Linked DNA regions of Drosophila melanogaster. The protein of the gene in region 1 purifies or fractionates together with the protein of each later gene. This does not show direct contact. Each region holds a gene or a part of one and is shown on either strand. Other genes may lie near its edges.

Region 1 (9,638 bases):
TGTTCTGCTTGCGCTTCCGCAGATTCTCCTTGTGCTCCTTGCGAAGGCGCGCCTGCTCCTCGGCCTCCCGTTCCAGTTCCTCCTGACGACGGACGGCCTCCAGTTCCCTGTGGATGCAAATTGGGATGAATCAATTAGTTTCTTACTTCTTACTTTTGGATACCGTTCCCACACGATTTTTGTTAGCTTGTTAGCTATTCTACGCTAATCGAATTTTAGTACCTTATCTGTGGTCATATCAAGAATGCTCAGTTTCATTTGATTATCGTGCGACACAAAGACTGACAATATTCCTTCTTTGGAACCTATCTAATGGTGCAAGTCATCTTAAGGTGCACTCATGAGCACCTTTTTTGGAAAGCATAAAATGTGTTTGCATGGTGACATATCGTTTTCTTTCTTTGTTTCTTAATTGAATTGCCTATATTTAGAAGAATTGTTCTAGCTTGTGAATATAAAATGCTAACTAAAGGCTATGACCAAAATTTCAACTGAGAAATGAGAAACTAACCAACTTTTAATATTAAATGATATCACTCTGCATGCAATGAACATACAGAAACCACAGCGAATTAACGATAAGAGTGGCAATGTAAGTTATCAAAACCTGATGCAATACAAAACTAGAATTATATTCTTTTGTTGCTCTATATACTAAGATATTGAAGACTAAAGTAAGAGAGGTCTGCCAAAACTCCGAGCACAAGGTCGCAAAATAATAATCCTTCCGCTGCCAGGACCTCTCGATATAGAAACTTAATGAAATAGCAAAATCCTACAACTCCAAAATGACTACAATGGAACAAGGCGCTATAATAACGTAAAAACGTAAGGTAAGCAATAGAACCCTGCCACTTACTGCCTGCGCTTCTCCAGGGCGAGTTCCTTTAGCTCGTTGGCCTTGCTGAATCCGTTCTTGATGGTGCGCGGCAGGTTCCACAGGGCCAAGGGGATCTGGATGGGCAGGGTGTTGAGTAGCGAGGGCATCGGTATCTCGCTAAGGATCACGTCCATGTCGATGTTCTTGTTCTTCTTCTGCAGCTTCTTCAGCTTGGTGCCAAAGACCTGTTCGGCGGTGTACTTCTTCTCGAGGTAGGCCGCCCAGGCGAATAGATACTGGCCCACGGTGGTTATCAGGAAGAGGATAAAGGCGCCCTCATAGAGCCCGATCTTGCGCATACGTCGGTAATAGTAGAGGGCAGACTTCCAGTTGGGCATGCCCTCCTTCAGTACCCGGTCGTACTTCTCTCGGCGCGACGGATCTTTGAGAACCTCGTAGATGGAAACGAGGTTGCGGAACTGGATGTTGGCATCCTCGGCCGGATTCTTGTCCGGATGCAGGACAATGGACAGGGTGCGGAAGGCGCGCTTCACCTCGGCGCCCGTTGCCGTTTGGTTGATGCCCATGAACTCGTAGAAGTTGCGGTTTACCTCCTCGACCAAGTCAAAGATCTCCAGTTCCTCCGAGTGCCAGGCGCTGGCGCCAGTGGCGCAGAGCAGCAGGAGGCCGGCCAGCGTCAGCTCCGGTCGCATCATCATCGTGGTCCGAGTTCCGAATCCAGGTCAGGTCCAAATCGGAGTAAAATCCAAATTTAATGCGCCAGACCCACGCACGCACCACAAATACACACACACGCAAGCAAACACGGATAGGCTCAGCTGGAAAGTGGCAACGTCAGCAGACTGGTCGCTGGTGCGACAGCGTTGCCACCACTCGGTAAAGTTTGTGTAGACAAAAAGATATTTGCAACGTTTCTATTATTTATTTTTACGAATTTCTGTTTTTTTGTTCAAAAATAATTTACTGCACTAATTCTGTAACCATATATATGTAATCAAATTTTACAAATTTTTTTTTCCAACTAACGACACACAGTAGGTCAAACAGATTTCGTTTGTTTGCTCATTAAAATTTGCTCATAACATTTGTCAAGTTCTTCCTGAAAACAATAAAACAAATTCTCTTTCTATACCGAATTTTGTTTTAACTTGATACACGTTTTTCACCTGTTTCAAACCAAAACGCCCAACACTGTCGACTGTTATCGATAAGCTCTCGATGGTGCATCACTTGTGCAACTAAATGAATAGAAGCGACGCGACGTTTCACTCTTATAAGAATAAGAAATCAGACGACAATGAAGCTGCTCTATATGCTGTGGCTGCTGAGCATCTTGGTCCTGGTCTCAGGCCAGCAGAAGCAGACAGCTAACTCCGCCACCAAGGACGCCCCAGTGGTGGCCAATGCGACGAACGTGCTGCAGGCCAAAGTTATTCCAGGATCGAAATTGGAATCTGGATCTCCGGGAGCTGCCAGCCAGCTGGTGCCGGGTAAGGATGCAGCTGTGTTGCAACAGGACAAGAACTTAAACAAAACGGCCACAGCAGAAAATGCAGGTAAAGCCAAAAATCTCACAAACACCGATACAGGAGTGCCCACCATTCCTTTGGTCACTTCCAAGCCGGCTGTGGAGCAAAAGGCGGCCAAGGAGGCGACCAATACGACCTCCACTACAACTTCTTCCACCACGACCACCACCACCACGGCAAAGCCAGCTGCAGGATCAGCCATAGTCACCGAGGGCCAGTCCATGAAGGATGTCACCAAGCCGAGCAACTCGTCCACCAACGGCGCGGCAATATCCCCGACCAACAGCACCCACACCGCCACAGCCACCACCAAAACTGTCAATTCAACCATCATCGCAACCACGCCAAAGCCGAAGAAGCCCCCAGTGGTATTGAGCACTGATATACACCAGGAGGGGGAGGATATGGCGGAGCTGGAAAAGAGTCAGGATAAGCCAGGTACAAAGGGCGCTCCCACCCAGCCATTGGCCACACCACCAGAGCCATTGGTGCAGGGGCTTACTGGAAGTAATCTTGCCGATCACGGAGAGAACGGGTATGTGGTACCCATTGTTACCGTGCTGCTGACCGTTCCGCTGGCCATCGGCGTGGTGACCATCATGTACCGCCGCTTCCGCGACATGTGGAGCACCAGGCACTACCGTCGCATGGACTTCCTGGTGGACGGCATGTACAACGACTGACGAAGACGCGGACGACAGGCTGGCGGCAAGGGCGGCCACTTCACCGGGTGCTCCAACGCCTCCTCCGGCGCACTCGGATGATTATTAGTTGTTTAAGTTATACACGACTGGACGTGCTTGCATTCAATGCAAGATCGCCGGATCGAAAGCAGAGTGAGAGTAGCGGAGAGCAGAGGAGGCGGTGGGAAAACGAAACGAAACTATGATATTGCTCAGTCAATTAGAGGAGGAGGAGAAAGGGATTCGCTTTGCAGCGTGGCTAGGATACCCTTCCGAGCGGCCAAATTGAATTTAAAGCCAACTGATTTTCAACACTAAATTCGAGTGGACTCTTAAGTTTAAGCATTTGGATTATTGTCAAGCATTTGTTAGCAATCAAAAATTGATACCGGCACTTATATGTACCCTATATATACATATATCTACTTAGGCTGCTGCTGTACATCGAAGGCTGCGGACTCTCAACCATCAACCATCAACATCAACATCAGCGCAATTAGCAATCACTTGATGCATCCACAATCTAGCCGTAATGTGCCTTACGAACCAGCTCTATATACACCTTTACACATGATATTCTCCATCGCCGGGTCTTCGAGGTGATTTCTTCGCATTTACTTTACGCAACCAAGCAGCAGCACTCACTCAAAAAAAAAAACCAGCAGAAACCAAAAACACAAGCAATCGGCCTGAAACAAGCAAATTTATTGCATACCATGTGTATATACATAAATATGAATATATATATATATATATATACATATTTCTTATTGTTATTAATTTAACAACTACAATAAAGCAACAAGGCTAAAAAAAAAAAGATATATTTGGAAATGAAGTTTATTTATTAAGAGCCTCGGGCACTACTTGTGCCTCTATGATATCGTTTTTCCTCGTTTTAAAACAAAACTAATTGCTTATTCTGTAAAATGCAAACAACCGCAGTCTTGAATGTCACGCTAATTACTTGGTTTTGAATAATTCATTGAAATGTTAGCAATCAATTAAAAGGAAATTAGATAAAAACAGATATATATATGTGATATTTTAAATAACAAATAATACAGGATTGTAGTTAGTCGAATAGAACCCAAATTCAATTAATTCCTTAATAATTTTTTTCCAAACTCATTTTGGTAGTGTAAATCATGATTTATGCTTGCCAGCCCCGTTCAAATTCAAATATCATGCACTAAATCTTCTGGTTAACCCATTAATGTCTTCATTTATGCTTTATGGTTGGGAACACGCAATCGACTCCAGTGGCCAGATTTCCCTGGAGATTCGAGGCTACCAATTGATGTGCGTCCGGAGCTGTGACCTTTGGTGATAATAGATCACCAGCGCCTGTTCCTCGCGTCTTGATTTAGACAAATGGGGAACGAGGAACTGCCTCCATGCAGCCACCAACCCACCCACCTACAAATGGGCAACCTCCAACCAAGCTATGAAATAATGGAAGACAAGCGAGGAACTGCCGAATGCTCTCGATGAAGTGGTTTATAAATGATCTCCATCTGCGAAGTTGTTCGTGGATCGTTTCAATAATTTAAACAAAAAGAACTAAACTGCCAACAAAACGATCCATTCCGCGTGCGTGTTAGTGTGTGCCGGGAAATTCGGAAAAGCGGGAAAATCGTTCGGCCACGAAAATGTGTGAAATGAGCCGAACGATTGCCGCTGCCAGCGTTTTCACCTCTGTCTAGGATACAGTTTATGATACCCAATAAAGTGTAGGACCCAGAGGGTATAATGCATTTATGAAACATTCGTTAACCAATTTGGTAATATATCAAAGATTTGAGAAGTTTTAGCAGCAATTAATTAAAAATATAAAAACGTTAGGGAATTATTCATATTAAATATTCAAATAATTTATTGATCAATGCAACATAATAATTAGTTAATAATTAAACTTTTATTTTAAATAATAATTGGTGCTTCGTTTTGAGTATGCCATTGTGAATTGAATGTTCTTGTTAAAAGAAAAATTAAGATTATAGATTATTTTTGTTATACGATTTTGGTATATATTCAGAATATATGAAAGGAAACTTCAAAGAGATTGATTCCAATTCGAATTTCCACTTTGCATGAAATATGAAAATGCAAAATTAGAGTGCACTTTTACATGGTATCTAGCAGTCGGGACACCGATTGGTATGTGGAATAGTTTTATACTTCCTGTCTTCGCCTCTGCGTTTGGCTTTGTGTTCGTTCTTGGCGTGCTCATTTCAAAACGTGCGCTGGACGCGTGCAGTTCTCCAGTTCGACCAGTTAACGTCTGATACCCGTGGAGTGGAAATCGCATCCCTCCCATCCAATACGATCCGAGAACGTGTCCTGCTGCAATGCATCCTGCCTCGCCGCATCAGCACCGCGCCCGCCTGCATGTCGGATCGCCAGGATCGGGTGGCATACAGGCCTCCTCCTCCACGGAGACCTTCCCACTCACTCCGCAGCACCAGTCCTCGCAGCACGCCGTTCACATCCCGCCGCCCCCCTCCCTGCCCTACCAGGGACTCAAGACCTGTAAGCATGGCGAAAAAAAGGGTTAAGAATCTAATGATATGATATGATATGATATGGGATATTCCATTTAACATTGATCGCGGATTAACTTTTTAAAAAATCATTCATTCATATCAGGTCTAAAAATATGATCAGTGGTATGTTCAATTGTGTTGCGCCTTGTTAAAAACGAACTAAAAGTGATATACCCAAATAAACAATGGTATAATTAATGTTCATCGAAACCGAAAAACAAACAGCGAGGTATTCGGAAAATATACAATACTTGAGCACTTTTATTCGAAAGTTTTTATGACCTTAATCAAGATATGCAAAAGAAATAATATTTACGTAACGAGTTACTCTAAATAAACGGACTAAGTTTAATTGTTTCAATAGCAGTATTATAAACATCTAATTCAACTTTAGACATTCTAGTAATTTTACTACAAGGTATATACATATATATTAATCGTCCGACAAGTTTTAATGATATATATGAACTATATACATCTGCTGGAAAGGCTGAATGAAACAATTGTGAGAATCTTACTATTGATTACTTTTAATTCATTCATTCAATTAACATTCTATTGCCAAAACATTTGCGTCTTTTTGTCTTGTTTAGCTAAACAATAAAGTACTTGTAGCCTGATTAAAAAGTGAATGAAATAATGATCGCAGATGGCCCAGTCGTGTGTGTGTGGCAAGACTTCCTTGATATCTGGACCGGATTTCCAGATGCATATAACCAAATAATTCGCTCGGCGATTTGTTTAGCTCATAAAACTACACGCACATTGACTGCCAGATACAAATAGTTTTTCACATTTTCCCACCGCACCCACACACATGACCTCACCCCACAGAACTCTAGTGCTCCAGAATAATTCATAATGCATAATTCATAAATCGGCCAAATGTGCGATTAATGCGATACGAAACCATAATCAAGGCGCGAGGTGAGTCAGTGAATCACCAGAGTGAATCAAGTGAATCGTATCCATGCATCGATCGATCGTCGCGACCACCTATGAAGTATGCAATATAAACTGTGCGCCGACATATGAAAATAAATAGAGATGATCGGTGCGGACCGGATCGGATCAGATCGGATATATGTATATGGTACGGATCGAAACTCGAGAGATAAACAGAGCGCCGGAATGGGCAACAGCCAGGCACGGGCGCAAACATGGCCAGTTGTGGAGATGTGGAAATCAGTGATCATATTCAATGTCTGGTCCATAGCCATAAACAAAAAAATGCCCAGCCATGTTGTACATAGTTAGTCGAGCATAAAAAGCAAAGGCAGCCCCGTTGCTGGGTATTTATGGAACTCCTGGGCATTTGTACTAGATCAAAAGCAATTTGTACAAGTTAATTGCCCCAAAAACAAAAACAAAAAAAAATACAGTACCAATCGTGGAATATGCTGGCGCAATTGAAACAATCAGGTCGATCACCGAAATCACCGAAGCCACTTTTCATTGTAAACAAACAAACAGCGGCCATTTCGAAAGGATCATAAAATAGGTAATTGGAAAACACATTATTGGGTCAGTCACTGCTCGCTTTCCCTACGGAAAATCTACGGAAAATCTCAACGATTTGCCAAATCCAACTGAAACATGTATCTTTTATCTGTTTGGCCAGCAGTTGTAAAGATACATCCATACTCGTACTTAGTATTGGGATCAGTTTTCATTTGATGGAGTGTATTCAGAAAGTTATAATATACTCGTATGTTTTTAAGCTAAAGTTAAATGCAAAAATGGTGTCCATTTTCATAACCAATGATATTAATTGCATATCTATTGTTTAAGCTTTAATAATAAATATTAAATTAAGTCCAAAATATTACAAAATGTTGTGAGAATTGATTGTCCTAAGCAAAAGTTTAAAAACAATCATACCAGCTAATCATCATCATAACCAATCATACCACTTTACATACTGCATACGATGATCTTCAAATCTTGCAGCTGAAAACGATGACATGGGCTGCGTGGAGATCCTGGCCACGGTGGTGTCCGTGCTGATCATGGTGCTAACCTTTCCCATCTCGGTGTTCATCTGCTTCAAGGTGGTCTCCGAGTACGAGCGAGCGGTGATCTTCCGGATGGGGCGACTGCGCAGCGGCGGAGCCCGTGGTCCCGGGGTCTTCTTTGTGCTGCCCTGCGTGGACGACTACTATCCGGTGGATCTGCGCACCGTCTCCTTTGACGTGCCGCCGCAGGAGGTGCTCTCCAAGGACTCGGTTACTGTGACGGTAGATGCGGTTGTCTACTACCGCATCAGCGATCCCCTCAAGGCGGTCATCCAGGTGTACAATTACAGCCATTCGACGAGTCTCCTGGCGGCCACCACGCTGCGCAATGTGCTCGGCACCAGGAATCTGTCCGAGCTGCTGACCGAACGCGAGACCATCTCGCACACCATGCAGATGTCCCTGGACGAGGCCACCGATCCCTGGGGCGTTAAGGTGGAGCGCGTGGAGATGTGAGTAGCCAACTGCCGAAAGTCGTGATGTGATCATGACATGATCCACTCTATCCATGATCCGCTTGCAGCAAGGACGTATCCTTGCCAACTGCCCTCCAGCGGGCGATGGCCGCCGAGGCGGAGGCAGCGAGGGAGGCGCGGGCCAAGGTCATTGCCGCCGAGGGCGAGATGAAGTCGTCGAGGGCTCTGCGCGAGGCTTCCGAGATCATCTCGGCCAGTCCATCCGCCCTGCAGGTGAGTCATCTTCTTCCATCTGAATCCAACCATCGGACATTTGGAACTGGCCCAAATGGTTTCATTCGTTCCATCTTCTTCTCTACTTAGTTGCGATACTTGCAAACACTGAGCAGCATTTCAACCGAGAAGAATTCGACCATCATCTTCCCGCTGCCCATGGAGCTGCTCACGCCCTTCCTGAATACCCAAGCACACTCGCAGCAGCTGCAACTGCAACACCAGCAGCAGCTGCAACAGCAACAGCAGCAGCATCAGCACCAACAACAACAACATCCTGCGGCTCCTGGCACGCCACTCCATCGACACCCGCACCAACACCACCAGTGACGCTCGATGTCGGTGCTGCAACCATATCTGGAGGCACTGCATCGCTGCGAGCTGCAGCGTCAGCAGAAGCAACAGCGAAGCGGAGCGGCTGCAGCGGGAGCGGCGGATGACGATGACGACATCGTGGGTTTCTTGCTCTAGTGGAACGGCGGCAGCAGCGACAGAAAGCGGAACTGTCCGGAAAATCCGGAAAATGAGTCACCAATGAATTCGAATGAAAGTGCCATGGAATTCCCTAGATTCTGGAGAGATTCAAACATGGTTCGGACTTAAAAATAAATTTTTTTTTTTTAGAATTTATTCTAATATGTCGAATTTAGTATGCAATAGTAACTGAGGCTTTTCCAAGGCTTTTCCTTCTTCATTCACAGTCGTTTTAAGTAGAGACGTTATATTTAAAATAACCAATATTATTTGTTTGTATCTTAAGAATTAATAACAATAGCTAACTACAAACCAGGGTAAAAGCTAACCATTTAAATAAACCAAATGATTCAGAAAACACATTTTTTTTTTCAGTTCTTCCCCCTTTTTCGAAACAACAAAATTTACATTTATATATGATATATATATATGTATGTACATATTTGCTCTTCGCTTATCTAAATAACTCAGATTTGCATGCCACTTCAGCGAGTGTGGCAGATAAGCTCTTCAGTGCTAATGTGACCGCCAGATCAGAATTGAGTCACCATCGGGTGGCTCCAGCCAATGACCCGTGACCCCAAAGCAGAACTGCGTCTCAATGCTCCAGCTGAGATAACCGATTGATTAAAGTGCTAAACGCACTTGGGCCAGATAGAGCTTACTCGGCTTTCATTGATCGTCGGTCGGAATAATCTGAAAGTGTACGCCTCCAGTTGGCAATTCTTTCGGCGCAGTGCAGTGAATCATCCGTGGTGACCCATGGCTCTCGACTTACAGAGCGGCTCTTGGTGTTTCCCCGGTCGTAGATACACTACACTGAACGAAAATTTACGAGCCGATGCATTTACATTCCATTCC
Region 2 (7,356 bases), on another chromosome or scaffold:
TTCCCAATCGACGGAAGCAAATAAACCGTCCCAAAAAAATGATGGGGCGGCAAAGAGCAGAGGAGGCGAATCGGAAGTACTTGATGTTGGCAAAACCTCTTCTGTAAGGCCAACCACGCACGAAGTAATCCCTCCACTTCCCATGACCCTTCCCCTACTGACTCTCCCCCAGCCATTGGCCAAGCCTAACGATTACCAAACACCTGCCACCATATTGTTCAAAGGCAGTTCGCTGAGCAGAAATAACTCTTCGGCTTCTGAGGCAAGCAAAACGCCTAGTTCAGCATTCATTTTCGGTAGCACGGGTATGTATAATTCGACGTTGACCTCAAGATAAAAGGATCTAACCGCTTTTTATGTTCACTTCAGATAAATCGGAGCCTGGAAAGGATGCTGGCCCATTAGCTAATCTTCAAAAACTAGCATCAGGCGAAGGACAAGGAAACGTTTTGGGATCTATATTCCGTAGCGGCTCGTCAAACGAAAATTCGTCTGACGGTTCTGTCAAGTTCTTTTTCGGGGGTGGAAATAAAGCGGCTGAGCAACAGAAGAAAGATTCCTCAGAGTCTGTCTTCGGAGGCAATAAAGCGGATTCCCAATCGCCAGCGACCCAAGAAGCACCGAAGTTGGCCTTCGGTGGAATTGCCGCACCTGTGTTCGGAGACGCCAATCCTTTTGGAGGCCACAAAGTTAATTTGCAAAAATCAGATGGCAAGGAAGAACCAAAATCTATCATTGGCGGAACCCCATTGTTATTTGGAGGGTCCAACGCCTTTGGAATACCCAAAATTGAAACCCAGTCACCTGCTAAAGACTTTGTGTTTGGCAGTGCACCCGCTTTTGGACAAATGGCAACCTTCTCATTTACAGCTGCAAAAAATGAAAAGGAAAAGGACATAACCTCGAATAACACCACTGATCTTAAAGCCGAAGGCAAGGAAAAGAAGGAGTTGGTGCCGGAGACGACCAGCACATTTGCCGATTTGGCCAAGACAGGCAGCACGTTTGCAGATTTGGCAAGCAATCCGGGCGGCACTTTTGCGGACTTAGCGAACAAGACGGGCAACGACTTTGCCAACCTGTCGGCCAATAGCCAGGGCACTACCGTGGGATTCAACAAGTCCGCCGGGGGCGGCTTTTATAACCTCACGCATCAGAACGCTTTCAAGAACTTCGAGTCGCCGCAAGCCACAGAAGAGTGCGATGATGACGGCGACGCGACCACTGATGACAACTACGATCCGCACTATGATGCCATTGTAGAGCTGCCGGATGAGATAGTTGTCACCACGGGAGAGGAGAACGAGACTAAGCTGTTTGGCGAGCGGGCGAAGCTTTATCGCTATGACGCCGAATCGAAACAATGGAAGGAGCGAGGTAAGCTGTAGTAATAGTCCCTTTCTTATTCACACTAAAAGTTTTTATAAAACCAAAAAAAAAAAAAAAAGGTGTCGGTGAGATAAAGGTGCTGGAGCACCCGGAGCTGCAGACATTCCGACTGATCATGCGGCAGGAGCAGATCCACAAGCTGGTGCTTAACATGAATATCTCCGCCTCCCTGCAAATGGATTACATGAACGCGCAGATGAAGAGCTTCCTGTGGGCCGGCTACAACTACGCGGTGGACGCAGAGGGTAAAGTTGACACCGAGGGCGTCCTGGAACGCCTTGCCTGTCGATTCGCCAAGGAAGAGATCGCCAGTGAGTTCCTCAACACGGTCAATTCGTGCATAAAACGAGCCAAGGCCTTGCAAGGTGATGAGGAGAACAAGAATGACGACGCGCCGGAGGAGCAGGCGAGCTCATAAGCAAACCGGATCTAAATATATGTAGCATGTCTAGGATTGTGTTAGAATATTCATCCAAAACAGTAGCGACAATGGCTATTTCACATTTTGCTAATAAAATTTCGATAAACATTAATATTACATTTGAAATAAATTTGACTATTGAATAAAGCAATCGATATATTAGAGAGGAGACAAATTCGGACGTACAACCATATAGCACAAGGAAACTGGCTATGTTTTTATATATTAAATGTACCTCTACCTATTTTTAAAATATCGACAGCACTTAGATAAAAAATTAAAACAAACAATTACCTTTCGCGATAATCGCTCAACTCCCGATTGTTCCATCCCCAGCCGATAGTTTGACAGCCCTGCCACTGAGAGAGCATAATGACGTGGTGAACTCTGTGTGAAAAAAGAACAATAAATTGCCGACAAATCTCTAGTGTAATTAAATTAGTTACCGCATAGAAACGCACTAAACTGTGGCCAGAACTTTACGAATCCCGAATACTGTCTATATAGCAATCTCAGGAAACTGACAGTTGAAACAGCCCTACAACAAGGAGGAAGAAGAAGAAGGCGACGACGGGCGGTGCAGAATATGAATTAGAGAATAATTAGCGATTGAAGCGCGTCTAGTTTGCCAGTTGGCCCATTTCGTGTTTTGTTAGCCCCTTTCCGGCAGCCCCTGCCCCCGTCCCGGAAAATTTTGCAATTCCCGAATCGATACACGTGTGCAGCGAGAACAACGACAGCGTCAAAGTCAACAATAAAAGTCGAGGGCCGGAGATTAATGAGAGACTACCGACGACGACCATGATGAACGAGGACAGCAGTGCTGCCGGCGGCGGCGGGGTTAAGAAGTTCTTTCAGCGCCTCTCACAGGTAAGTAATTGTGGATAGCCCGTACGTGCCGGGAACTAACCCGCATCCTTTGCTTCCGCAGACCTACCAATCCGCCTTGGACCGTAGCACACCGCACACACGAATGCGCTGGGTGTTCGCCGGCTTTCTGCTCCTGCTCTTTGTGCTGCGCATCTTCATCTATCAGGGCTGGTACATCGTGTGCTATGCGCTTGGCATTTACCACTTGAACCTGTTTATCGCTTTTTTAACGCCCAAGATCGACCCGGAGTTCGATCCGTATTCGCAGGATGACGAGGACGAGGGACCCAATCTGCCAACTCGCAGCAACGAAGAGTTCCGGCCATTCATTCGCCGCCTGCCGGAGTTCAAGTTCTGGCTGTCGGTGGCGAAGAGCACGCTCATCGGTCTGATTTGTACGTTCTTCGATTTCTTCAACGTGCCGGTATTCTGGCCCATCCTGGTCATGTACTTTATCACGCTCTTCTGCATCACGATGAAGCGCCAGATCAAGCATATGATCAAGTACAAGTACTTGCCGTTTACCCGCAATAAACCGCGCTACCAGCGGGTGAATGATCTGGCGGGTTCCGGACCCGGTTCCGTGGCGGGCAACTCAAAGTGACAATTAGCCGCACAGACGTCGGACACGCGGGCGACGGCAGCGGGATCGGGTGATCCTTCAAATGCCTCTTCTGCAGCTGCAGCGCCACCATCACCAACCAGCGACAGCGCAGCGACCAAGGATGTGGGGTCGCCAACAGCATCGTCCATCAAACCACCGCAGATCATTGCCATTGAGGACTACTAGAGAAAGCTACCGAAAGCAGCCCGGAATGGGAACCAGCAGCATAACATCAACCAGAAACAAGCTTATAATATGATTTTCCTTTTCGGTTTGTGTAGCATTTTTCGTTTCACTGTTGAGTTGTCGTACGGCGTCTTGTGCAAAATACCTTGTTTATTGTTTAATCTAACTGCTTGTTTAAATTTATATTTATTTACAATGCTTTCTATCTATTGTAAATCCCAAACGATACCGAAATACTGCAGATCAGCTCTAATTTAGTTTTTCATCCTAATCCTAACAATAATTTAATAACTCTTCTATCCAAAAAGTAGACTTACTGTATTTGAATCCAATTATTTTTGATTATCGTGCTAAGATGCTATAATAATATGTCTAAATATATATACAAACATATATATATATATATTTTGCATTATGATTATACAATTTTTGTTAGCGTTAACTATACAGAATGTTAAAAAAAGGCGAATTGAAAACTGAAACTATAGGAAGTGTACACTGGGTGCGTCTTATGAATAAAGAAAGACAAAAGAAAACCAAATAATTTATCGTTGAATTTTGAACCATTTGGAAAAGGTTGATGGCTTTTGTGGCGTGGTTTTTGTATTTATCTAATCGCTTCTGCATGTAGTTTGCTGTTCGATTTTAAGATACGAAACCAATTTTGATTAGGCCAATGCGTGAAATTGCTTTAGCGATTAGCACAATCACTAAGTGGTTATTTAAAAACGACTCATTTTCTGAACAGTAAATACATTTTATTTTTGTTAAAACGAAGCACACACCAACAAAACGAGCACACGTCATCTAGTCTAGAAAACACGATACAAATAGTTAAAACCCTAGCACGGCAATAATAAAAAAGTTCAAATGCACATACAAATATATATATAAAAATGAATGATAATACGGGAATTGTAATATATGAATAGGCTAACCATGCAAAACAATCGCACATTTTGATTAATTATAAAAAAGTGATTTAATTATGGGCACTTGGGAATACTTTAAGGGCAGCGGGACAAGAGAGATTTCACTTGGACTCCACTTGCGATGTGGCCTTGGCCTTATCCTCTCGAGCGCATTTGCGTATAACACTATTGAAGTACTTGTGCAGAGCGTAGCTAACTATTCGCAGTGGTCCCAAAACTATGGCGTGCAGAAGATTGGTGAAGAAGCCATCCCAAGGAAGCAATGCTCCACCCAAAGTGGTGATCAGCCAGCTTTCTGCTCCAACAGTTGAGGTGAATTTTCCCTTCTACAAATAAGAAAAAGTATTCTAGTTAGATTGCGTGAATATTAACTATGGGTAACAGACTCACCAGGGCATCCTTAAGTATAGCTTTCGCCATAACTTCCGGCTCTATGAGACCTCCTCCACCAGAGATTATTTTGGTTTCCCTGGGCTTTGACTTCTCCTCCTCCTCGAATCCGGGTGTATTCGTATCGCAGGGCATGGCCAGAGTGACGCTGACCCCGTGCTCCCGAGACTCCATTGCAATCGTTTCAGCCATCGCTCTCAGGGCGTACTTGGTGGCTGAGTAAGGACCGTATCCATAGATGCCAAACATAGCCGCCTGTGAGGCAGTGATTACAATAATGCCGTCGCCGGCTTTCTTCATTTTGGGCAGGACATAACGGGTGCAGTTATAGGTGCCGAAGAAGTTTACGTTCATCAGCTTGTGGACATCCTGGACTGAGACCTCCTCGAACACACCGCAAATGGCCATTCCGGCACAGTTTATTAAAGTGTATATGGGGCCGAAGCTATCTTCGATCTCGCCAAGCACTTTGGCCACCTGGTCATAATCGCCGCTTATGTCCAGACTTCTGTACTGGAACTTTTGATCTGGCCGCTGGCGAATCACTTCCATCAGAGCCACTGCTCCGCCTGCAAAAAAGATCGTATATCAAAGATAAGAGTATTTTGGGTGGGGTTTCCTAGCCAGAACATTACTCACTCAGCATTTTCTCGTCGCGCGCTATCACCGTCACATTGGCGCCTTTCATGGCGCACTCCACCGCCAGACAGAGTCCGATTCCCTTGGAGCCGCCGGTGACCACCACATGACGACCCACAATGCTCCTCGGTTTCTTGGCCATGACGAACACGTAGACCAGAACATGAACCAGCACCGCAATGCCCACGCAGAACACTATCTCCCAGCTCAGTTCCATGATGACAATTTCAAGAGGGTGCGATAATTCCCGGATTCTCTAATCTCTTACGCTGGCTTATCTGCACCCAAAGTTAAACGTCTGATTAGAAAGTGCATCTAAGTGTGACCGTTGACGCAAACCGGATTTCTATCGAAAGCTTTCGACGCACATCAGAGATGCAAATGTGGCTATAAGCGGCCAAGCAAATATTTTGTTCTTCAAAACTTTTTGTTTAATTTTATTCATAATAAATTAAATGTGCAATGGCTACCCATATGAATCAACAACATAAATATTTACTAGATCTTGAAATAAAGTGGTTTGATAAAAAAGGTTAGATCTTAGTGCGCAGCACTGACCGCATGTGTCTGCTCCAACCAAACTGTTTACTTGTTTCGAATTTGCAATTTAAAAACATTGAACGAAAATGCCACCGAAAAAGGATGCGAAGAGTGGAAAGGATGCAGGGAAAGGTGGCAAAAAGCCAGCCGCCGAAGACAAGTGTAAGTGCTTACGACTAAAGCAAAAATCCTATCCTTCAAATGAATTTTGCCATCTGCAGCTGCCGGTAAGGAGAAGAAGGGAGGCAATGCTGTAAAGGTTCGTCACATCTTGTGCGAGAAGCAGGGCAAGATCACCGAAGCGATGGAGAAGCTAAAGGCAGGCCAAAAATTCCCCGAGGTAGCGGCTGCTTACAGCGAGGACAAGGCGCGACAAGGCGGCGATCTCGGATGGCAGATCCGAGGAGCGATGGTGGGCCCATTTCAGGACGCCGCCTTCGCATTGCCCATCTCCACTGTCAACAATCCCGTGTACACAGATCCCCCGATTAAGACCAAGTTTGGCTACCACATCATCATGGTGGAGGGAAAGAAATGAACATTGATTTTATAAATCGAATTTTAATGTGATACGGATTTTGTTTCTTTTCATTTGTGGGTTCCCGAAATCCCGTTCACTTCTTGCCCGCATCTTCCTTCAATCCCACAGTGCGGTTGAACACTAGGTGGTTCGCACTGGTGTCAGGATCTACGGAGAAGAAGCCAATCCTCTCGAACTGGAACTTGTCGTAAACCTTGGCCTGGTTTAGGGCCCGATCCGCGAATGCCACCACCACCGACATGGATTGCTCACTGATGTCGCTCAGGAAACCGCCGGGCACCTCGTTGGGATCCTCGGGATTCTTGTGCTTGAAGAGCTGCTCGTACAGACGCACTTCCAGCTGTATCGGCTGCGATACCCACTGGACAAAAGCCTTGGGCTTCTCGGCCTGCTCGGCAGGTTGGCTGGTGCAGATTAGTTCCACCACCTGACCAGTCGCCGGATCCTTTACTATCTCATCCACGCTGATTACGAGACCCGCGTGCCGGAGACCCACAGATTGCTTCGGTGCCAGACGACGGTATCCCTTTTCAGGCTCCAACTTGAAGTCTCCCTGCTCAATATAGATCACCTTGTCTAGGGTGATCTTATGAGTTCCTTGCTGTGGGTTTTGCGGGAAATCAGGCACTTCTAGCTGCACGGGCGCTGCATGAGGGAAATTCTTTATGGTAACTTTGAGCGGTTCCAGGACAACCAACCGACGGGGAGCTGTAACATTTAGCACATCCCGCACTGCTGCCTCCAACATGGCGGGGTCGACGGCGATCTGGGCACCCGTTACGCCCATCTGGGCGCAGAAGTTGTTGATGGCCTCTGCTGGGAAGCCTCTACGTCTCAGAGCCGT
Region 3 (7,325 bases), on another chromosome or scaffold:
TCCAAACAAAGTTTGCTCAGTATGTGGTAGAGTGTGTCCTCTTTCAATTCTCTTTTTATACACTTACTAATTTTTGGTTTTCATTTAGAACCATTTTGAGGCCGCTCCTTTGGGCCGTGATGAAGACGCCTAAGAACGGGGCCCAGACCACCTTGTATGCTGCCTTGGATCCTGATCTCGAAAGAGTGTCGGGTCAGTACTTCAGCGATTGCGCTCTGGCTCCGGTAGCTCCCGCTGCCCTCGACGACCAGATGGCCCAGTGGTTGTGGGCGCAGTCCGAGAAGTGGGCGAAAATTGCGCTGTAAATGGGCTACTGGAATAGTGTGATTGGGCTAGTCGCAATTAAAGCCACTTAAATTTCACAACAGCCGTGGTTATTGAAGTACGCACTCTTAGTATAATAGGATATACCAGATTCAATGGCCTGTACTAGGTAATAAGAACAATTAAAGGATTTGCTAGTCGAGGAACATGATATCCTGATTCATATATCCTACCTGTTACGTGGACCTTAACTACAATAATTTAGGTTGATTGTTACTTTACAAGTAAATCGTATAGTTAGTTCAGGTAATATGTTAGATAGGAACATGTGTCATATTTACTAAATAAAATTTAAACTATATGTAAGCTAAATAAAACTGGGCTCCAGTGTGGCAAATCTTATGCACAATTGAGCATCTCTTGTCTGCCGAGGAAACGAGAACAGGACCTTAAGCATCACGTGAAATCGAAACTAAAGGGATAAATCGACAGTGACAGCATTTTCTTGTTCTCATTAGAGTCACGGGATTTTCTTGAAACGAACGAATTCTCATAATTCTCTATGCAAACGGGAAATCCTGTGTTGTTGAATCGCAGTGCGTAAAACCACGTATCTGACAAGTTTACTACTACAGTCAATAAACCTTAATTTTGTATAAAAACAATAAAACCATTTGTAGCATTTAAATAGTAAGCATTTAGTGCTTTATAATTACGAGCTCTGAGTTCTGCTTTCAAAAGATACACTTTTGTAGGCGCTAAGGAAGTTCTTTTGACCCACGCAATTATACGATAACTGTGTCCAGCTCCACAGTTATATAATGATCTCATCCTCCTAATAGTGTGGTCCAGATGGGTTGCTATTTATGGGTCACGCACTCGCTTATATTTCCTCCAGTTGATATGGTGTACTGCACAAGAGACAATGCTGTAAGGATCACCGTGACAATGTAGTCCATGACGAACTCCCTGTCGCAAGTGATGTCTAGGATGATCATATTTTCGAGCGGTTTCAGCTTCTGGTGAATTATCAACGAGGTGTGCTGCGGAAATGTAATTGGGAATGAATTGGAGAAGTCGGCCAGGGAAGCCAGCTGCCGAAGCAGATCTCACCTCGTTTTCGAGAACCATTGCGATTAGAAGGTGTGGCCTGACCTTCCTCATATACAAGCCCTGAACGATTACGAACAGTTGCTGAAGCTGTACTTCAGCATCGCGAAATCGATCGGTGCACATGCCCAGGATAAGCACATACAGTATCGGAACGCAGACGGGTCCCAAGCAACCGTCCGTGATGATGTAGATCTTGTTCTCCAGCTCGTCTCCGGCGAACAGACTGCATTCAATGAGCAGTTCGGCGTTGAAGATGCAGGTGAAGATCATCAGGTAAACAGAGGTCGAGAGCCAGGAGACGTTGTCCCTAACGTGCTTATGCAGATTGTTGATGCGCAAATGGAGCTCAAAGAGCGGGATCAGGCGCCGATGGTAGTGAAGCTCAATATCCAACCGATTCGCATGGTCCTCGATGAAGCGCTGCAGGAACAGAATAATGGTGTGGTACCAGCTGAGCAGGATGAGTTGGTAAATGAAATAGCCAGCAAAGCAGTACTCCAACAGCACCCAGTAGAGGAAGATGGACGAGAGGAAGTAGGGCTTGTACCACAAGGAATCCAGCATGACGGTGAGTATCCACAGCTTAGCCAGGTACACCACTAGCAATGTGGAGTCGCACTTATACTCCATACCGAACTTTTGCTCCAGCGCGCTGGTTATATGCAGGATCTCGTTCACAGTATGCTTCAGGAACCTGCGATCCCTCTTCAGGTGCAGGAAGATTAGTAGGCGCCGCAGGACGCCTATCACGATTCCGAGCACAATGAGACTCATTAGGAAGTTCTGCGCCTTGCTGTCCTGCACCAGTGTGATGTGGATGTATATGCCCAGTCCGAGTACGAAGTACTGTAGATACGGGCTGGCCAGCAGTATGACCTTGAGGACAACCACGATCTTGGACCATATTCGATGGTACTGCGACTCCTCCACTTGATTGGTGCGCTCGTTGTAGTGCAGCTTGAAGAAGTGGAGTCCGCAGGCGATTGCGTAGATGATCCAGGCACTGCCCTTGAAAAACCACCGATGGAGAACTTGGTTTGGCTTTCTTTGATGCCTGCGAAAGTTGGTGGCGGACCACATGGCTTCGGGTGAATGCGAGCCTGTGCTCATTGGATTCCGACCAGTATGTTAATCGAATCGAATTCGGGTGTTAGTACTATTCGCATTAACGAAAATGGCCAAATGAAAGTAAAAGGCCCAAACAAAACAAAAGGCTCTCCAACAAATTACATGGTAAATTAAGTAAGTATTGCTCAATCCAAAAATAAACGGAGCTGCTGCCCAAAAATTATCATTTCATTTAATTTATGCAAGGTAATAACATGGAAGACTAACTACTTCCCCTCGTCATCGCAGAAGCTGGTCATTAAATGTAATTTTTACAAATCGATTGCTGTGAAAACAGAGCCTTAAATAAGGTGTATTTATAGAGAGCTTTCCCACATTCATCATTTAAGACGATCTGAAAGCCTAGGTCTGAAACTCATTCTAGTAATACACTTTAGCTATATCTACATTACCCTATGATCGACGGTTATTATGATTCTATCTATACAGCTTACATAATAAACTTTGGCCGGACGATAAAAACTTACGGAAGCATCCGTTTCCCTCGGCGACGCGGCAATCGTAAACCCTCCAACCTTAAACTTAAAACGATGTTTTATACCGGTCCACGTTAATGTTTCAAGTATGGACATTCCGAGGTTTTGATATTGCTCGTAGATGATCCAGGCACTGCCCTTGAAAAACCACCGATGGAGAACTTGGTTTGGCTTTCTTTGATGCCTGCGAAAGTTGGTGGCGGACCACATGGCTCCGGGTGAATGCGAGCCTGTGCTCATTGTATTCCGGCCAGTATGTTAATCGAATCGAATTCGGGTGTTAGTACTATTCGCATTAACGAAAATGGCCAAATGAAAGTAAAAGGCCCAAACAAAACAAAAGGCTCTCCAACAAATTACATGGTAAATTAAGTAAGTATTGCTCAATCCAAAAATAAACGGAGCTGCTGCCCAAAAATTATCATTTCATTTAATTTATGCAAGCTAATAACATGGAAGACTAACTACTTCCCCTCGTCATCGCAGAAGCTGGTCATTAAATGTAATTTTTACAAATCGATTGCTGTGAAAACAGAGCCTTAAATAAGGTGTATTTATAGAGAGCTTTCCCACATTCATCATTTAAGACGATCTGAAAGCCTAGGTCTGAAACTCATTCTAGTAATACACTTTAGCTATATCTACATTACCCTATGATCGACGGTTATTATGATTCTATCTATACAGCTTACATAATAAACTTTGGCCGGACGATAAAAACTTACGGAAGCATCCGTTTCCCTCGGCGACGCGGCAATCGTAAACCCTCCAACCTTAAACTTAAAACGATGTTTTATACCGGTCCACGTTAATGTTTCAAGTATGGACATTCCGAGGTTTTGATATTGCTCGTATAAAGAAATGTGTAAGGGGACTGGATCTGGCCAGTCGCCACTTGGAGCTGGTAGCATTCGGAGCGGAAAGATGAGTGCACCCACGGATTACCTGTTCTGCCCGCTGGCATATGGGTCAGCTCTTTCGGCCATCGGAATCTATCTGCTCCGGTGAGTTTTGTCCACTCTCAGTGATGGCCCTTTAACCTCAGCCAGTTAGACAATATATGCAGGGAGGTCAGTTCACCACGAAAACGAATGAGACCGGCAGAGTGGCGATTGTGACCGGCTGCAACCAGGGGATTGGCAAGGAGACCGTTCTGGAGCTGGCCCGCAGGGGAGCTACCGTGTACATGGCTTGTCGGGACATGAAGAAGTGCGAGAATGCCCGTCGGGAGATCATCAAAGCGACCAACAACCAGAACATCTTCGCACGCCAATTGGACCTGTGCTCCATGAAGTCCATTAGGAACTTCGCTGCTGGGTAAGCACATTCCTATTGACCTTAATGAATACACATATAAATAAAGGTACTCAATTTAATACTTTTTAGCTTTAAGCGGGAGCAAAACAAGCTTCACATTCTTATCAACAACGCCGGCATTATGGACTGCCCCAAAATGCTGACGGAGGACGGATTTGAAATGCAAATCGGAGTGAATCACATGGGCCACTTCCTCCTCACACTTCTGCTTCTCGATGTCCTGAAGAGTTCCGCGCCCAGTCGCGTTGTGGTCCTGTCCAGCATTGCTCACCGCTTCGGAAGGATTAAGCGTGACGACCTGAACAGCGAAAAGTCCTATGACAGAAAGATGGCCTACTGTCAGAGCAAATTGGCCAACGTCCTCTTCACCAGGGAGTTGGCGAAACGCCTGAGCGGAACAGGGGTCACGGTAAATGCCCTACATCCCGGAGTAGTAAACACGGAACTGTTCCGCAATACACCCTTTTTGGGTTCGTGGTTTGGAAAGTAAGTTTGCTGATTGCATCATCCCATCAGCTATTAACTTTCGGCTCGCCTTTAGATTGCTCATAGCCCCTATTATATGGATATTCATAAAGACGGCTAGGAATGGCGCACAGACGACCCTGTACGCTGCCCTGGATCCCAGTTTGGAAAAAGTATCTGGAAGATACTTCAGCGATTGCAAGCAGAAGCACGTGGGCTCGGCCGCCCAGTATGACGATGATGCCCAATTCCTATGGGCGGAAAGTGAAAAGTGGACGGGAATTAATATATGAGCAACTTTATGACTCTTTTAACTCTTACCCTGTATTGTTGAAATACATTTAATAGAATAAGCTAAATGAGCTAGATGTTCTGTTCAACTTTTGTAAAAACATTACAAACATTTTAAAAACATTTGGCTGGAAGTCTTGGAACCAGTTATCTGAGTAATCTTAAATAAACTGATTTAGTAATTGCATTTTTTAAATAAACATTTAGTTAACGTTGCCTTGGCGTCACTAGAATCTGAACTATTTAGCAATATATGATTTCGGTTTAAGTCATGAGCTGTCATAGAAGCAGGTGAAAAACTAATCGAAAATAATAGAATATAAATAAGAATAATAATAATAGAATAATATGGTATTATAAGATTAGGTATTAATTAAATTAGACTTGCAGATAGTTATTTAGCTTATCATGCATTTGCTCGACTTGCAATGAGGTTTTTATAAACTAGAAGCAAAAAGCTCTCAGCAAACCCCAAACATATTTCGTTCTCTCGCAGTTTCGAATCAAACTCATCGTGAGTAAGCGTTTTGTGGCTTTCGTGTATTTTGGAGCAGATAGCGTACATTTCGTATAAAAGGCAGTTCCAAACGGACGGGCAAACATTCATTGACAGAACCAGCAAGTGAAACGAACACAAACGGCGGCAAGATCTATACTGTATCCAAACAAAATGGGCTGCCTTACTAATTGCTTGTGCTGCCCCCTCATTTTTGGCCGTCCATTATCGGACTGGCTGCCTACTTGCTAAGGTATTTGCATGGAATAGTTCTACTGCTGAGTAATGATTAATACGCTCGTGAATTGCGGCCTGTGTTGAAATAGAGTGATAAGAATTAATGAATTTCAGAAAATACATGCAGGGCGGTCAGTTCACCAAGCAGACCGATGAGACCGGCAAGGTGTTCATTGTCACCGGTGCCAACACGGGCATTGGCAAGGAGACGGTCCTGGAGATTGCCAAGCGAGGAGGCACTGTGTACATGGCATGCCGGGATATGAACCGGTGCGAGAAGGCGCGCCAGGATATTATCAGGGAGACAAATAACCAGAACATATTCTCTCGAGAACTGGACTTGAGTTCGCTGGAATCCATTCGCAAATTCGCTGCTGGGTAAACGCAAACATGATAGATCGACGAATGCGTTACTGATTTCCCTCGTTTATTAGATTCAAGAAAGAGCAGGATAAGCTTCATGTCCTGATAAACAATGCAGGAGTTATGCACTGTCCCAGAACACTGACCAAGGATGGCTTCGAAATGCAGTTGGGAGTCAACCATATGGGACACTTCCTGCTCACCCACTTGCTGCTGGACGTATTGAAGGTATTTTGGGTACTCAGGACTTTCTTAGCACCTTGTTAACCAAACTCCCTGCTTAATCTCACTAGAAAACTGCACCCAGTCGCATCGTGAACGTTTCCAGCCTGGTGCACACCCAAGGTTTCATTAAAACTGCCGACCTAAACAGTGAAAAGTCGTACAGCAGAATCGGTGCCTATAGTCAGAGCAAGCTGGCCAACGTCCTGTTCACCCGGGAATTGGCCAAGCGCCTGGAGGGAACGGGGGTCACAACCAACTCCCTACATCCCGGTGCCGTGGACACGGAGCTGTCGAGGAATTGGAAGTTCCTGAAACACCCCTTTGCACAGTAAGATAGAAGACATAAGTGGGCACTACTTGAGTTTGATATTAACACTCGTATCGCTTAGGCTACTGCTCAAGCCCCTCCTGTGGGTACTCTTCAAAACCCCTCGCAATGGAGCGCAGACCACTCTCTACGCAGCCCTGGATCCTGCACTAAAGGATGTTTCCGGGCTCTACTTTAGCGACTGCCAGCCAAAGGAAGTGTCCGCAGCTGCCCAGGACGACAAGACTGGAAAGTTCCTCTGGGCGGAGAGCGAGAAGTGGACCGGCGTGAATTCAACCAAAGTTGATTAAGCAACCATTAGTTTATCCCTCGCCATTTCATAATTTATTATTTTAATAGCTTATCATAATGAAGACTAACGCAAAATGTAATAATTTATGTTTGAATTGTAGAATTCTTACGGATTCTACAAGCTGAAAATAAAGAAATGCTCCCAAAAAAGCTTTACCTAATCTAAAATTTGTATTTTGAGATCAACATTGTTGCATTTCTGTGTTCAGTACTAAAGAAAAATGGTCAAATTCTTTTGTTTTTTTTGTAAAAGTGATGGAATCAATTTGGATGATTCATGCTTTATTTTTGTACCCGTTATTCCTGGAGTAGGAGGGTATACTAAATTAGT

What was found.
Region 2: the proteins of CG33253 (region 1) and Kdsr purify together in Drosophila melanogaster (affinity purification with mass spectrometry, with the first as the bait; one large-scale study listed by BioGRID). This does not show direct contact.
Region 3: the proteins of CG33253 (region 1) and CG2070 purify together in Drosophila melanogaster (affinity purification with mass spectrometry, with the first as the bait; one large-scale study listed by BioGRID). This does not show direct contact.

Annotation. Positions count from the first base shown.
Region 1 is NC_004354.4:19,178,141-19,187,778, forward strand, and holds CG33253 (uncharacterized protein), read left to right. Parts: upstream 1-5,280; 5' UTR 5,281-5,404; coding exon 5,405-5,585; intron 5,586-6,325; exon of another isoform or gene 6,326-7,307; intron 7,308-7,549; coding exon 7,550-8,066; intron 8,067-8,137; coding exon 8,138-8,303; intron 8,304-8,393; coding exon 8,394-8,633; coding exon of another isoform or gene 8,634-8,774; 3' UTR 8,775-9,138; downstream 9,139-9,638. Other genes in the region: CG7556 (uncharacterized protein), read right to left, coding at 1-107, 860-1,539; CG7453 (uncharacterized protein), read left to right, coding at 2,139-3,053.
Region 2 is NT_033777.3:25,256,753-25,264,108, forward strand, and holds Kdsr (3-ketodihydrosphingosine reductase), read right to left. Parts: upstream 5,747-7,356; 5' UTR 5,649-5,746; coding exon 5,432-5,648; exon of another isoform or gene 5,430-5,431; intron 5,362-5,429; coding exon 4,793-5,361; intron 4,729-4,792; coding exon 4,504-4,728; 3' UTR 4,211-4,503; downstream 1-4,210. Other genes in the region: Nup358 (nucleoporin 358kD), read left to right, coding at 1-305, 370-1,377, 1,449-1,807; CG11857 (uncharacterized protein), read left to right, coding at 2,612-2,680, 2,742-3,284; CG11858 (uncharacterized protein), read left to right, coding at 6,058-6,133, 6,193-6,509; GlnRS (Glutaminyl-tRNA synthetase), read right to left, coding at 6,586-7,356.
Region 3 is NT_033778.4:7,658,132-7,665,456, forward strand, and holds CG2070 (uncharacterized protein), read left to right. Parts: upstream 1-3,723; 5' UTR 3,724-3,905; coding exon 3,906-3,985; intron 3,986-4,034; coding exon 4,035-4,298; intron 4,299-4,367; coding exon 4,368-4,784; intron 4,785-4,839; coding exon 4,840-5,056; 3' UTR 5,057-5,277; downstream 5,278-7,325. Other genes in the region: CG30495 (uncharacterized protein), read left to right, coding at 1-31, 89-305; Grl43a (gustatory receptor-like 43a), read right to left, coding at 1,125-1,307, 1,378-2,457; CG2065 (uncharacterized protein), read left to right, coding at 5,909-6,165, 6,222-6,378, 6,444-6,703, 6,765-6,993.